2 linked regions of the Schizosaccharomyces pombe genome follow. The protein of the gene in region 2 interacts with the protein of the main gene of each other region in a biochemical or structural test. Each region holds a gene or a part of one and is shown on either strand. Other genes may lie near its edges.

What was found.
Region 1: of the proteins of set1 (region 2) and hht3, one has a biochemical effect on the other in vitro, tested with the Schizosaccharomyces pombe proteins (one study listed by BioGRID).

What each region holds. Positions count from the first base shown.
Region 1 is NC_003423.3:3,526,160-3,532,430, forward strand, and holds hht3 (histone H3 h3.3), read right to left. Parts: upstream 3,407-6,271; 5' UTR 3,371-3,406; coding exon 2,960-3,370; 3' UTR 2,641-2,959; downstream 1-2,640. Other genes in the region: RAVE complex subunit Rav1, read left to right, coding at 1-2,522; hhf3 (histone H4 h4.3), read left to right, coding at 3,608-3,919; SPOM_SPBC1105.13C (uncharacterized protein), read right to left, coding at 5,601-6,029. UniProt on the Schizosaccharomyces pombe protein: Core component of nucleosome. Nucleosomes wrap and compact DNA into chromatin, limiting DNA accessibility to the cellular machineries which require DNA as a template.
Region 2 is NC_003421.2:409,586-418,770, reverse strand, and holds set1 (histone H3-K4 methyltransferase Set1), read left to right. Parts: upstream 1-2,823; 5' UTR 2,824-3,243; coding exon 3,244-6,006; 3' UTR 6,007-6,478; downstream 6,479-9,185. Other genes in the region: family protein BIG1, read left to right, coding at 1-295; ins1 (INSIG domain protein), read left to right, coding at 1,194-1,766, 1,992-2,155, 2,239-2,347; condensin complex non-SMC subunit Cnd2, read left to right, coding at 6,704-8,932. UniProt on the Schizosaccharomyces pombe protein: Catalytic component of the COMPASS (Set1C) complex that specifically mono-, di- and trimethylates histone H3 to form H3K4me1/2/3. Binds RNA which might negatively affect its histone methyltransferase activity.

The sequences.
Region 1 (6,271 bases), on a different chromosome or scaffold from region 2:
TAAATTCTTTAAAATTATGGCATTGCAATGAAGCAATTCCTCCAACCCTTCTCTGTACATGTCGTCAAGTCCCTACTAGTCCGATAATAACCTTCTTTATTCTTCCTGTTCAAAACAACGATAATTCCGCCCTATGTGCTTTGACGGAAGGAGGCCATGCCTGGTTTTGGAGTGTCTCTAACGAAGCTCATGATGGTTCTGCTGTACTTCGGTTTATAGATCGGGTAAATTTTACAAAGAATTTAAATATCGCATCGGCTGTAGATGTCATGGGTTGGTCTTCTACTTTAAATTTGAGCAGTTTATCTTCATTTGATCAAGAGGTATTTCAATCAATATCAAAAGACGGTTTATTACAGACTTGGATGGCAAGAGTATTGGGAGACGATAAAGCGGAAATATCGGAAATTTCCAAAGTGCAAACTAGCATCAAATCTGCAACTATGATCAAAGGCTCAACATCCAAGAAAGTTGCTGTTGTATCTGAGAACAATCGTCGACTTTCAATTTTCGACACGCGTAGTTCAGAATTCTCTGAAAAGGAAGAATTTTCCTCTGTTTTTGATGATTATGGACCAATAAATGACTTGGATTGGACTTCTACTCCCAATTCCCATTCTATCTTGGCTGTTGGCTTTCTACATGATGTTATTCTTTTGTGCCAAAATCGCCGATCTTATATGAACGATATTCCATGTTGGTCTCGTATTCGTAGATACAATCTTTTAGAATATACAAATTCATTAATATCTGACTCTTCTTGGTTGGATAATGGGACTTTAGTTACTGCCATTGGTAACGGACTTTTTTATTTTGATAATTCACTTCCCGAAGATCAGTCTTTACTGTTCCCTGCATCATTGAAACGTTCCGCAAAAAATATTTTTGATCTTGCATACCAGCTTAATGGAATTTTACCAGTTTTTCATCCTCAATTGTTGCAGCAGCTTTTACTTAGAAACCAACCCTTTCTATTTACTAATATTTTGCTAAGGTTTTACTTGTGTTTGAAAGATGATGTAGATATGCATTTTCTCTTAAATATGGACTGCAGTGAGTTTTACTGCTGTGACGAAGAAATTTCTAAAGACCTTTTAATAAAAAGTCTCAGCCAAAATTCTGCGGAAATTCTAAATCCTGCGGAATTGGATTTTGAAGAGACCAGTGTCTCAAAGCATTTAGGATTATACATTGATGAAATGATAAAGAAGTTGACTGCATTATTAAAAGTAAAGAAAGTCAAAACCCTCACTCGATCATCTCAGTTTTTACTTCTTAATTTAATCGAGGCATTCAATAAGGCAAGAGCATTGCGAGATTCATTGGACCTCAACGGAAAAAGATATTGCATTATGCTAAACCAGTACGTTTTATCAAAACATCAACGTCAATTAACAAGCTTGCCCACCCGAGAGATGGCGTGGGCTTTTCATAGCTCTAACAAAGCTGTTCTGTTGGACCACACTAAAAAGCTTCATGGAAAACCATTGTTATGGAATGCTGTTGAAGAATATGCGATACCGTTTTGGCTAAATGAGCAGCTACTGAAAGATGTATTTTTAGAGCTGTCTCGCAATCATTACGCTGAGATTGACGATAGGAACCCAGAGAATGTTAGTTTATATCACATTGCTCTACACAAAATAAATGTATTTCGTGATCTTTGGCGTCTTGCTAGTTGGCATAAGGAATCAGCTCGAACGGTTAAGTTGCTTTCGAATGACTTTTCAAAAAAGAAGTGGAAAGTGGTTGCATCCAAGAATGCTTTTGCACTTTTAAGCAAGCACAGATATTTTTATGCTTCTGCATTTTTTCTTTTGGCAGATAGTTGCTATGATGCCGCAAAAGTATGTATCCGTAATTTAAAAAGCATTTCATTAGCCATCGCAATGACTCGAGTCTATGAAGGCGACGATGGTCCGACCTTAAAGAGGCTAATAAACGAGTATGTACTTCCTTTGGCTGTATCTCAAAACGATAGATGGCTCACCAATTGGAGTTTCACTATTTTAAAACAGGAAAAAAAGGCCTTGCAAAGTTTGGTATCTCCCATTCGCTCGCTGGTCAGCGATAATGACTTTATACAACTTTATACATCCGATAAAAACGACCAAGAAATTCACGAAAATAAAGATTCACAACGAAATAGTACTAACGAACCCGTACGAAATAAGTTTCCGTCTGATGATCCTGCCTTCATTTTGTTATATGAATGTTTAAGATCCAGCAACGTGCAAATTGATGAAAGTCTTGAATATCGATTTGTTTTGCATAATGCTAATGTGTATTGCCAATTAGGATGTGACCTAATAGCACTTGGGCTTTTGCGTAATTGGAAATTCCAAAAAAATCCTGCAACTGCTCATCTTGAAACTGAGGATTATATGGTAACTGACAAGCAGTCTGCAGTGGAAAAAACTCACGACTCCCCCAAACTTGGAAAAACTCTTATGGGACAAGATATCCGGCCAACACCGGACGATGTCCCCGAATTTAATGAATCTGCGTTCAGCTTCGAGTAATTAATTAATTATCGATACGAGTTTTTAAAAATACTACAAAAAATCAAATACGGTCAACCCTTAGTTTATCGTGTTTCAATAATGATATTAAAAATTAATTTACTATTAAATAGCATATAAGAATACAGATGAAGTTCCTCAGCGTTTCATTTACACAATTGCGCAGGACGTAAAGAGAGAATTAAAAATTTCTATACATTTCGAAAATAAAAACGTCCGCGGTATAACTCGAAAAAAGAAAACAAAAATATAAATAGATAGTGCAGCTCACGGAAACAAAAAATTAGACTTGCATATCGTTTGTTACATTCCACAACACTCAAGGTTAAATTTTGTTTCGAAAGGCAAAGTAAATGAGGGAAGGATTACAATGGGATAGACGACCAAAAGATTCCAAATCACACCATCAGATGGCAACCACAATTTGGTAAAGTTGCTTATGAGCGTTCACCGCGAAGACGACGAGCCAATTGCATATCCTTGGGTTGAATAGTTACACGCTTTCCGTGAATAGCACACAAGTTAGTGTCTTCAAATAGAGAGACAAGATAGGCCTCAACAGCTTCTTGGAGAGCACCAATGGCAGAAGACTGGAAACGCAAGTCAGTCTTGAAATCTTGGGCGATTTCACGGACCAAGCGTTGGAAAGGTAGCTTACGAATCAAAAGTTCAGTAGACTTTTGATAACGACGAATTTCACGAAGAGCGACTGTACCGGGACGATAACGATGAGGCTTCTTAACACCACCAGTAGCGGGAGCAGCCTTACGGGCAGCCTTAGAGGCAAGTTGCTTACGAGGAGCCTTACCACCAGTTGATTTACGTGCAGTTTGCTTAGTACGAGCCATTATTTTCTAGTGTTCTGATAATTGCCCTGTGTAGATAAAAACAAATTATAGGGAGATTACGCTGTATAAATATGTCCCTACATCCAACTTTGATCACAACCCTAACCCTTTAATTAAATTGACGTAAGTTAATAGGGACGGCGCATTAATATATATTGTGAAATGCCGCATACCCTACTAGCAATAGAAGCACTGTTTATAGTAGTAACTCTATTTCGTTAATATTAATAGTGCAATATGTCTGGCCGTGGTAAAGGTGGAAAAGGTTTAGGAAAGGGTGGTGCCAAGCGTCACCGTAAGATCCTTCGTGACAATATTCAAGGTATTACTAAGCCTGCCATTCGTCGTCTTGCTCGTCGTGGTGGTGTTAAGCGTATTTCCGCTTTAGTTTACGAAGAGACTCGTGCTGTCCTCAAGCTCTTCTTGGAAAATGTTATTCGTGATGCTGTCACCTATACTGAGCATGCCAAGCGTAAGACTGTTACATCTTTGGATGTTGTCTACTCTTTGAAGCGTCAAGGCCGTACCATTTATGGTTTCGGTGGTTAAATTCGATATCAATTGCCGACTCCGAATTTTTTGTTTCGAGTCTATCAATTTTATGTGTACACTATAACTATTCTATATATACATGCCAAACGAGAATGTTTTTCATCTGGGCGATATCAGAAGAAGCATTATCAATTTGCTAGTGCAATTCATAGACAAAAAGGCGTTTGGTCTTTGTGAGAAATTTTTCATATCGCGTTGTATCACGGCTGAATACTCCATCTGACAAGAAGATGAATTTTTCTTCGTGGATTTGTGATTAATACATTTATTGAATGAAATGATTAATATAATGTTCATTAAACCCGAATCGTATCGTGATATTTATAAGTAGTACAAATATAGTAAACGCGCAAGTTTTTCTTTAGGTAATTGTTTGTGCGACCTTAAGCAAATTAACCTAGTTGATGCGTTACACTGTTCTTCGTGTCATCTTTCTGGGTATGGGGAAAGTGTGTCTAGTGAATGGGGTTAAAGAAGGTTATCTAAGCGACTAGTTGATAGCAAACAGTTGCATAGCCAGGAAGATTGTGAATTGTACGGTACATCGTAGTTGTGAGGTAATACGCAACTTTCTAATTGAGAGATATCAAATTGAATCAGCTCGATCGCATACTTAGATACTTATTAAGTGTTGTAATTTCGTCAAATAAAACTTTTAACAATGTAAAAAAGTACGTACTTTCTTCCGCTCCTTGCTTAATACCACAATAAATGAATTTACCTAATCTGTATCTAACAACCACATAGTCAACGGGACTAACAAATTCCAGTAAAGTGTTAAGGATAAAAAGCTTTCAGCAATGAGAGCGTACGACTCTTTCTCTAATCTGACATGTTTTCTTTTGTGTTTATAAAGCATTCGTTTTGTATTGACAAATTTTTCAATTACCTTGGGTAGGTGAATTATTTTTGGGCATATGACATCAGAACGCGTTGAACAATTAAGTTCACTTTGACAAAAATACAGATTTTTTATCACTACACGTCGTTTACTTTATATTTTACTTCATCTTATTACAAGGTTACTCTGTAATTGTAACGTTTGACGAAGCCCATAATCCAATCCTCTTTTTCGTTGCAGAGGAAAATAAGGAAGAGTAAGTACGTAAAGCCTACGAAAAGAAAGAGAAATATAAAAAAGTATACGTTTGTCAGTGCAATATTGAATGGTAAGTTTATTAATTGTTCCACTCATCGACTAAATAATAAAGTAGAAAGACGAGACATTTATGTGTATGCTAGAACACACTGGAATCCATTTGTTCACGAGTTGTTCTCGTAATAACATAATGATTGGTATTGCCGTGTGTGAATGCCAGTGATTATTGATGTTTGAAAGACTACAACTGATAAAAAGATAGTTGCACTAGTGATAAAAGTCTGTTGAAATTGGTATGCTCTAAAAGTCATTTGTACTTGAGTAAGCAGTCATATGCGTGTTGGCTATCCATCTGTTTGACTTGTTTGAAAATAATACACATGGGTTATGCTTTTCACAAGAAAGTAGAATAATTGATTCCTACATCTGCATCATCCATATCGATCGGTAAAGTATACTTTATCCTACGAATTGGTTTCATAGTTAAATCACTCCTCTGCTTAGCAGCTCCGCATCCCCTTCGTGTACTAGCCAATCTCATCGACATCGACAAATTGACTTCACCTGAGTTAAGCATACTTAATTCAACTTAACGAAGTGCAACCCACCACGACTGACCTCTGTAATCTCGGAAAACGGATAAGACGGTTCAGTACGTTCGCTAGTAAGAAGCATGCATGCAAAGGTACAAGAGCAGGCTTCCCATGCAAACTGAGAAAATAATCCCTGAAGAATTGCTAGTAAGCCAAATTGCAGCGCCTCCAAACATCCTTCTATTAAGGACCAGAAAGAATGATGCTGATGACTAATTTTTGGGTTATGCAAGAAGCATCTGGCATTTTCTTTAACTTCTCCACGAATAAGGAGAAGGTCACACGACGGAAGCGTGGAATAATGATGAGTTTGATCGTCGGTAAACTCCCCCAGAGTAGCGAAGATCATCGGCATCGAAAGAAAGAAGGGAAGGAAAAAAAAAAGTAAAAACGACTTGATGAATTCCGTGATCATGTAGGGTAACGGAAGACGAGATTACCGAGTTTAAGTAAGCAATCGAGGTCTGCATTGCGATGCCGATATGGTGATCGGGAACATGAAGCACTTGATTGACTTGAACATGTAGGGAGGAAATTTTTTTAGCGTTTTTAGACTTTTCATTTAGCTGCTATCTTAGGAGTAGCGTGACACGGCGCAAACGAAAAACAAGACATTTGTTGTACCAAACATCCTCAATTCCATCGCATCTCTAAAGT
Region 2 (9,185 bases):
AGGTGGTCTCAACTCAGGGAAGAGTGCTCTTCAACACGGCCAATTGGCTTCTTTACCTGATCAAAATGAGGGATCACAAACCACGCTTGCTATGCACCAAACAAGGAAGCACCCTGTCACCGACAATGGTGCGACGGGACTGTTTACCGAATATCAATTTTTTACTCCTGGTTTGTACATGGGTTATTTGGCATTGGCTGTATTGGTTCCAACTTTGTTTATTTCTTGCCGTTTACTTTCCTCTATTCAAATCAGCTATCACGCTTTTGATAGTCCTCGACGCAAACAGTTATAAACCTCTTCTTAAGGTGAATAAGCTGAAGAAGTTTCAATTTATTTCTTTCTTTCATAATTGATACATCTCACACTTAATTTAGAAGAAAATTATTGTCATAAATGGTTCTTGATAAGTATAGTTTGGTGACATTTTTACCTTTCAGCGCAATTCCTTAGGTGTCCAAATGGTTAGAATGATCTTTGTTTTTTAATATATTGAAGTCTATTAAATAGTTTTTTGGACTGAAGAATTTATTTCTTGTGATGAGACAAACTTTATAACCATAATATTGTTTTTTCTTTATGATGATTCTCTACGGAAGGTGAAAGTTGTTGGCATCATGTAGTCAGCATAACTTTGTTTTGCTTTTTGTATTCTATTCAATTAATATTTTTGTTTTGCGGTTTTAAAAATAGTAGATGAATTTGCTATACTTTGAATAAACTAGAGAAACCACTTTAGGCATACAGACTCAATTATGAAATTTCCTTAATTATTTAAAGCAATTTCTTCGTGGCTGATTGTTTCGTAGAATGAGTGTTTGCGAGAGTTTTTTCCTTGGATATTTTCGTTATTAGTTAACATTGTCATTACTTATGGCATGCATCTTCAAGTGATCAAAGCACAATATACCTTAACAATAAGAGTAATATGGATGCAGAAAAGTTTTGAGTATATTTCTATAATTTAGAAAGGTCAAATTCACATATAAAAGTGATTGTAAATATTTATTCATTTCAGATCTCTCTTACTTGAGATCTTTGTTACTCAAAATTGTTACTTGTCACTGGGCTATGCGTGTTTTGTGCAATGTCTCGATTCTGCCAAGTACCTAAACGTAAAGATTGATTCTTCTCCATCCATTTAGTCAGTTTCACAAGGATCTCTACAGAAAGGTGCCGTAAGCTTGAATAAAATGAGCAGAAAAGAGATTTACGAACCCCGTCCGCGCTACCCAGATGGTTATAATGGAAATCGAGCGGTCAAGAAGTCCTTGTCGGTACTTTCTTTGGACAATATGAAATCGACACTATCAGGGCTTTTTGCTCCACTTAAATTAGATGAAGAGCAGGCAGAAGATGATGAATCCCTGAGTAGTTATGAAGATTACGCGTCTAGACAGATCGATGATGATTTAAAGAAACAGAGAAAGAAAGGGATAACATTTATAGACTATTCATCTTTAATAACTTTTTTTTGTAAGCTTTGTGTTATATTTGGATTAGGGTTTGTGTTTACTTATTTGGCTGAACAAATTGTGCAAGATGCAAAGCTACCACTTCTGACGGTCAATCTCAAAAGTTGGAAATTTGAGCCCCCATGGCCTGCAATTTTTGGCTTCGTTGCTGTCATACTTGGACTCTCTTATCGACGTATGGATACGAAGTATCCTTTGGGAGCTGCCCCTTTACGCCCTTCACAATCGTCTAAATGGCAATGGATTTCTCGGTATCTTGCTGCTTTCGCTACATTGCTACTTTCTATGAAGGTAAGTTTTACATTATACGAGGCGTTCCTTTAAATAAAAAAGTGAAATATATATGCAAGATGTATGGAGTTACAGCAATTATCTATGCGTAACGACTTCTTGATATAGTTTATTCATCACCATAAATAAGTTGTGCTGTTTTCTGAGAATTTAAGTTTGATAGTAAACCCTCTTTGCCAATGCTTACTATGCATCGTGAATATACTCTTGCTAACTTATCTCTAGAAATTACTATTTATTTCGAATTCACACTCCATTGTTGCACTCGTTGCGAGTTCTGCTAGCATTTGGTATATATTTGATCGCTCAAGAAACGGTATTATTTTGTCGACAATTACTTCTGTGTTGGGGAGTATCTTATATTATAATTTGGTTGATACCTCAAAAATGTATGTTAGTTGTTATCCATCAACTGCCTACCAAAGGCTGCTCCAGTATTTTCAAACATTCGTTTATCAGCTAACAAATTTAGTGAGTTAAATGGAGTTGAATTCCCTGAAATTCAGTTTCGTTTATGGATTCCTATGATACTTTTCTCCGCTTCTACGATTGTTGGTAACGCTGGTCGTCTACTATTTTAATTTATTCTCTAGGAGTTGGTTGTTTGTGCTTTACGTTCTCTTTTTAGCCTTAGACTTCATTATCCAAAACAACCGGGTTAAACTTGTTTTGCTAAATGTTTTCCTACTTCGCATCTGGGCACTTATTTGGTTTTTCTGTATTCGATTATCCTTTTGTACCTTCTCGTCTCATTCATCGTTGTGTGCGAATCGGTTTTCTATCATGTACCAACAATCTTTTCATGTTAGTATTTTCTATTATGATTCCTAATATTCCTCATGTAGTTTATAATTATGTCTTTGTTCTAAAACATTCATCTACAAGTTTTCCTTTCTCAAGCCATTTATTCTTGCTTCTCTTCAGCAACATTGGTAGTGTAATATGCAACGGTATCTTTGGATAACGATTTTACTAAATTTCGCTATAAGAGCTACTGTGGCGCGTAATATGAATTGGCCTACCTTACACAAACATCCACAGAGATCCTATAAACTTTGTGTTTGGCCAAACGGATGTTTGACAGAGCTTTTTTACTTGTTATTAGCCTTATGAACGTATTTATTTGAAGACTGATCAAGTTTTACTTGAGTTTTTGAATATTGTTATAATTTACAAAGTAACGTCGCGCGACATACTTTTCCAATTATAAGCTGAATTACGGTTCAAATACTTTACAATAGAAAGCTCTTCATCCCGGCGATATTATTTCTTTTTACATAACGTTTTTTTTTTCATAATTTGTCAAGGCTCATTATTGGAATAAATTACACTTATCGAGTTGTTACCAAATTTTTGATTTTGATTTAGTGCACAGGTTTTTAATATCTCTTGATTTTTTTTTTTTTTTACTTTATAGCTCTTTTTTGTTTTGATCGAATGCCTGGGATTTGCTACTTGGATTCAATATTAATCAGCCATGGATTTTAATACCTCTACGCGGTCGAAATCTCAACCCGTTCAAAGGAATAATTACAAAGTTTTATACGATCCAGAATTAGGAATCAAGGAGAACCTTGGTCGCAAAATTATATATCGGTTTAATGGTGTTTCAAAACCACCTTTAGTAGTTCGCGACCCTAGACTTAAAAATCCAATATATGCCCGCGGTATTCCTAAAAGTGGAAGGCCATTTTTAAAATCTTTGCAAACTATAAATTATGACTACAATGAGAATTCATTAGGTCCAGAACCTCCAACTCAGGTTTTTGTTTCTAACATCTCACCGCTCGTGACTTCTGAACAGCTCCGATATCATTTTAAATCATTTGGGGAAGTTTTCGATTTAGACTTAAAGTTAAACCCTTATACAGGTACTTCTTTAGGGTTGTGCTGTATATCTTTTGACAAGCGTAGTTCCATTTCTGTAGCAGCACATTCAGCGAAAATTGCTGTACAACAAGCAAATGGCTTGAGGTTTTCCGGTAAGCCTCTTTCAGTAGTCCTTGATCGGGATGGTTCATTATGCGAAGAAGCGTTCAAGAAAGCTTTAAATGCTGTTGAAAAGCAATTTCAAGAAGAAACTTTACAGAAACAGAGATTCGAGCGGGAAGATGAATCTTCGCGGCAAAAGTTATCTGCAGCTATGAATGAAGATATTCCTCCTTGGCGTCAACCATCGAAAAATTCACAAACATTGAGCAATGGAGACTTGCAACATTCTAAAGTTCAGAACGTGGACCAGAAATCAGGTTTTCTTACGTCAAGCGAGACTGATGTTCCAAAAAATATTAATGATTATATTTATTTACTAATTGACGATCGCTTTGTCCCTCCAGATCGTGTGTATTATACTGATATAAAGCATCATTTTCGAAAATTTTTGTATGAAAAGATATACATGAACAAAGACGGGTTTTATATAACTTTTAATAATTATCGCGAAGCGAGCAATTGTTACCGTGCGCTGGATCGTACATACGTACAAAATTGTCGCATAAAATTGAAATTTCATGACATTCCTTCACGTACAAAGGAAGATGGAAAAAAGAGCGCAGTACGAAGAGTTGTTTTACCTCCCGAGGAAGCGTACGCTGAAGCAACCTCAGTTGTGCTTAGAGATCTTGAGGCTGCTTTGTTACGTGATGTAAAAAGTAAAATAATTGGACCGGCAATCTTCAAATATCTTCATTCAATGCCTAAGCCTTCTGTTAAGGAAGAACTACAAGAAAATTTATTGGTTTCATCTACAAGTGTTCCTGATGTTCCTTTAAAAATTGAATCAACAGTCGGAAAGCTCCCCAGTCTTCCCAAATTTAAAAAACGAGTTGATTCCAGTAAAATGAATCTTTCAGCGGGTAGTAAAACGAAGTCGAAACTTCAAAGAAGACGTAGAAGAAGGCACGAAGCTCGACCTTTACACTACCAGCTTAATCAAATGTATAACTCAAGCGCTTCTGAAGCCGAGTCTGATCAAGAACTTTTGTTATCTTCTGGAGACGAGCGTGTAGAAAGAGGGAAGATTGGCTCAATAAAGTCTGTGAAGTCTGACGAGGCGACTCCAGTTTTTTCTGATACATCTGATGAAAATGACAAATTCCATCGTTTTCGTACAAAATCTAAAATATCAAAGAAAAAATATGAAAAGATGGAAGTTGACTATACTTCGTCCAGCGAAACCGAATCAGATGCATCAATACTTTCTCCTAGTGCTGCGATTCCAAAATCAGGTAGCGCCATAAAAGATGAACTCATATCGCCTAAGAAAGAGATTGATGAAGTTTTAGCTTTAGCTCCCAAATGGCGTATTAATGAGTTTGATGAAACTGGAAGCGTTTATTATGGTGCACTTCCTTACAATTATCCAGAAGACGATGTACTTCTTGACTTGGATGGTCTACAGTACTTGGTAAAAAATGACGAAGATTACTCATATCTTCAAGAGGCACTCAAGGATGAACCCCTCATGGATATCAACGATCCCAATTTCTGGGCTTATGAACGCAAGTCATGTAAATTTAAGAATGGGGATGTTAAGTATGGAGATACGGCTATTCTTCCAGAACCTAAAGGTTATTTTCGCTCTAATACTAGCGGTTCTGCTAAAAGTGAGGGATACTATATTATTCCAACTACCGAAAAATCACTATATCTACCACTTCGTAATCGATCAACCATCGATACTATTAGTCATTCTACAAGCCGTATCACATCACGAATGAATCGTGTTAACAATAGAAGATTGGCTGCTGGAGTTGAAAAGTCTCAATTGCCAGCCGAAGCTGACTTGCTCAGATTCAATGCACTAAAGGCTCGTAAAAAGCAATTACATTTTGGCCCTAGTCGCATTCATACATTAGGGCTTTTTGCCATGGAAAACATTGATAAAAATGATATGGTCATAGAGTATATTGGAGAAATCATTCGACAACGGGTGGCTGATAATCGTGAAAAGAACTACGTTCGTGAAGGTATTGGAGACAGTTATTTGTTCCGTATTGACGAGGATGTTATCGTTGATGCTACAAAAAAGGGAAATATCGCGCGTTTCATCAATCATTCATGCGCTCCTAATTGTATAGCTAGGATTATTAGAGTTGAAGGGAAAAGAAAAATCGTAATTTATGCTGACAGGGATATTATGCATGGAGAGGAACTTACTTATGATTACAAGTTTCCGGAAGAAGCTGATAAGATTCCTTGTTTGTGTGGTGCTCCAACATGTCGTGGCTATTTAAACTAGACAATGATGCTCTTGGAGAATTGATGGTACATGAATATATGGGCAGCTGTACAATTATAATAGTTCGTTTAAAAAGCACGCATTATATCTGATGGTACACTAATGCTTTTTATTTTTTAATATAGAATAGAATCAATTTTCTGTCTTACATCGTCTGCATTTGATATTGGTTGAATATTTTGAGAGTCAGGATAAATGCGCATACCATTCAGTGGATTGCATTCAGGAGTGATTTAGAAGTAAAATGTTAAGAGATATACTGTCTTAGATATATCCATTTGCTCCACAATACTACGAAGTTCAAGTTTAAATAAACGAAAACGAAAAATAAAATTCTCTTAAAACTTGATAGCTACTGAATTTTAGGATCCAAACTTGATTTGGTATTACCTTGTTAATTTTATATGGAAGATTTATAATAATTGAAACTTCACAAAATTTGTAACAGAATAATAAACAAAAGACTTTTGACTTTGTAATCGGGAAGCCATCAATGAAGTAAATTGGGAAATACTATATTATTTGAAAACAAATTTCAAAAGAAAAATAATGTTATCATATTGGCATTTATTTAGAAACTTATTTGAATCTTTATCATTTGTTGATTAGAAAGAAATATACGGCATATCGTTAAAGCGCGATATACGTATAGGCACACCGACTTACCACTTGTGAACATAAACATTTACTTAAATCAATGAAAAGAGCTAGTTTAGGCGGGCATGCGCCCGTTAGCTTACCCTCCTTAAATGACGATGCATTAGAAAAAAAAAGAGCTAAAGAGAACAGCCGTAAGCAGCGCGAGTTGCGAAGAAGTTCAGCTCTGCACTCAATAACGCCAAGAAGAGAATCTCTAAACAATTCTTCACCATTTAATAGCTCTCATCAGGTTCCTGTTCTTTCTAATTTTGAGGAATGGATTAAATTAGCTACTGACAACAAAATTAATTCCACAAATACCTGGAATTTTGCGCTTATTGACTATTTTCACGACATGTCGCTTCTACGTGATGGTGAAGATATAAATTTCCAAAAGGCAAGCTGTACATTAGACGGATGCGTGAAAATTTATACTTCGCGTATTGATTCTGTTGCTACTGAGACCGGCAAGCTACTCAGTGGATTGGCAAACGATTCCAAAGTATTGCAGCAAACGGAAGAAGGCGAAGATGCTGAAAATGATGATGAGGATCTACAGAAAAAGAAAGAGAGAAAGCGTGCACAACGTTCGGTAAAGACTCTCGTTAAAGATTTCGAGTCAATACGCGCTAAAAAATTTGAGTTAGAATGTTCTTTTGATCCTTTATTCAAGAAAATGTGTGCAGATTTTGATGAGGATGGTGCTAAAGGCTTATTAATGAATCATCTTTGTGTTGATCAACATGGACGAATTGTATTCGATTCTAGCGATACTGTCATCAAGGATTTGGAAAATAAAGATGTTGAAGCTGAATCGCAGGAAGCGGTAGTCGCAGCGCCTATCGAAAGCCATGACACAGAAATGACTAATGTGCATGACAATATTTCTAGGGAGACCTTGAATGGTATTTACAAATGCTATTTTACCGATATTGATCAGTTGACAATATGTCCCTCCTTACAGGGCTTTGAATTTGATAGTAAAGGGAATCTTGATGTCTCTCTCTTAAAATCATTAAGTGATGAAGTTAACATGATAACGACAACCTCCTTAGTGGATAATACGATGGAGAAAACTGATGCTGATGCAGCTTCCCTTTCTTCCGATTCCGATGGTGAAGAAGGACATATTGTGCATGCTTTGGAGGAAATGGCTTACGATGAGGAGAACCCATATGTTGATGTAGTACCAAAAGCAATGGACGAATCCGAAAATCCAGATTTTGGTGTGGATACTGAAGTCAATATGGCTGATGGAAGTACTATGAATGAAAATTATTCTATTATTTCTACTGCCGCTGCGAATGGAGTATACGAATATTTTGACAAGTCAATGAAAAAGAACTGGGCTGGACCCGAACATTGGCGCATTCAGGCATTGAGAAAAAATATCAATAACGCATCAACTGTATTCAACTCTTCCAATACGGCTGAAAGTTCAGATAATGTATCGCGTTCTCTTTCTTCCACGGAACGGAAAAAGCGTCGAGAACTTGATAACGCCATTGATTTCTTGCAGGAAGTAGACGTCGAAGCACTGTTCACTCCTGCAACCAGCAGTCTCAAGCTTCCCAAGTCTCATTGGAAAAGACATAATCGATGTTTACTACCTGATGACTACCAATATGATTCTAAGAGGCTTTTACAGCTTTTCTTGAAACCAAAGATGTCAGTTCTACCCAACGCTGATGGAGAAGGACAGCTACAACTGAATAAAGCCTTAGATGATGAGAATGATTTGGACGGTATTCAACCCCATGGATTCGATTCTGATGGCAGTGATAATGTTGATGAAGGAATACCCCCGTATGGATTTGGAGATTCCGATAGCCCTAAGCAAACACCTCTGCTTACACCTCCATCATCATCAGGATTTGGTGATAACCTTTTGTTAACTGCTCGTTTGGCAAAACCAGATATGCTGAATTATGCGAAGCGTGCTAAAAAGGTTGATGTGCGAGTACTGAAAGAAAAGCTATGGAAATGTCTAGATCTTGAAAACACAATTAAAGAAAATTCCATCAACTCTCATATTGAGGGTTCGGAGATGGAGTCAGAAGAAACCAACATGCCAGTCAAATCTTTTTTTTCCACTGTCAATCAATTAGAGGAGACATACGAGAAAAAAGAACTCAAAGATATATCCACCAGTTTTGCCTTTATTTGTGTTTTACATTTGGCGAATGAACATAATTTAGAGCTTACAAGCAACGAAGATTTTTCAGATGTTTTTATTAGGCCAGGTCCTAACTTGACGACGCTAGAAGCATTAGAAAATGATGTTTAAAGTGTGTAGAATCGAAATGATGCAGGTCATCATTAATTAGTCATCATCGCATACTTTTAGCTAGCGTGAATCATTTTCAAGATAGCCGGAAATTATACTCTTTTTGATCTACCTTGAATAATAAAAACACTAGCTCGTATTTTTAGGCTGTTACTACTTTTTGACATTGAAGAGTTGTGAAAAATGAAGAGTGCAAATTGCATTTTGTGGAGCAAGCTGACAGCGAAATTTTTTGTAAAAAATACACCTTCCT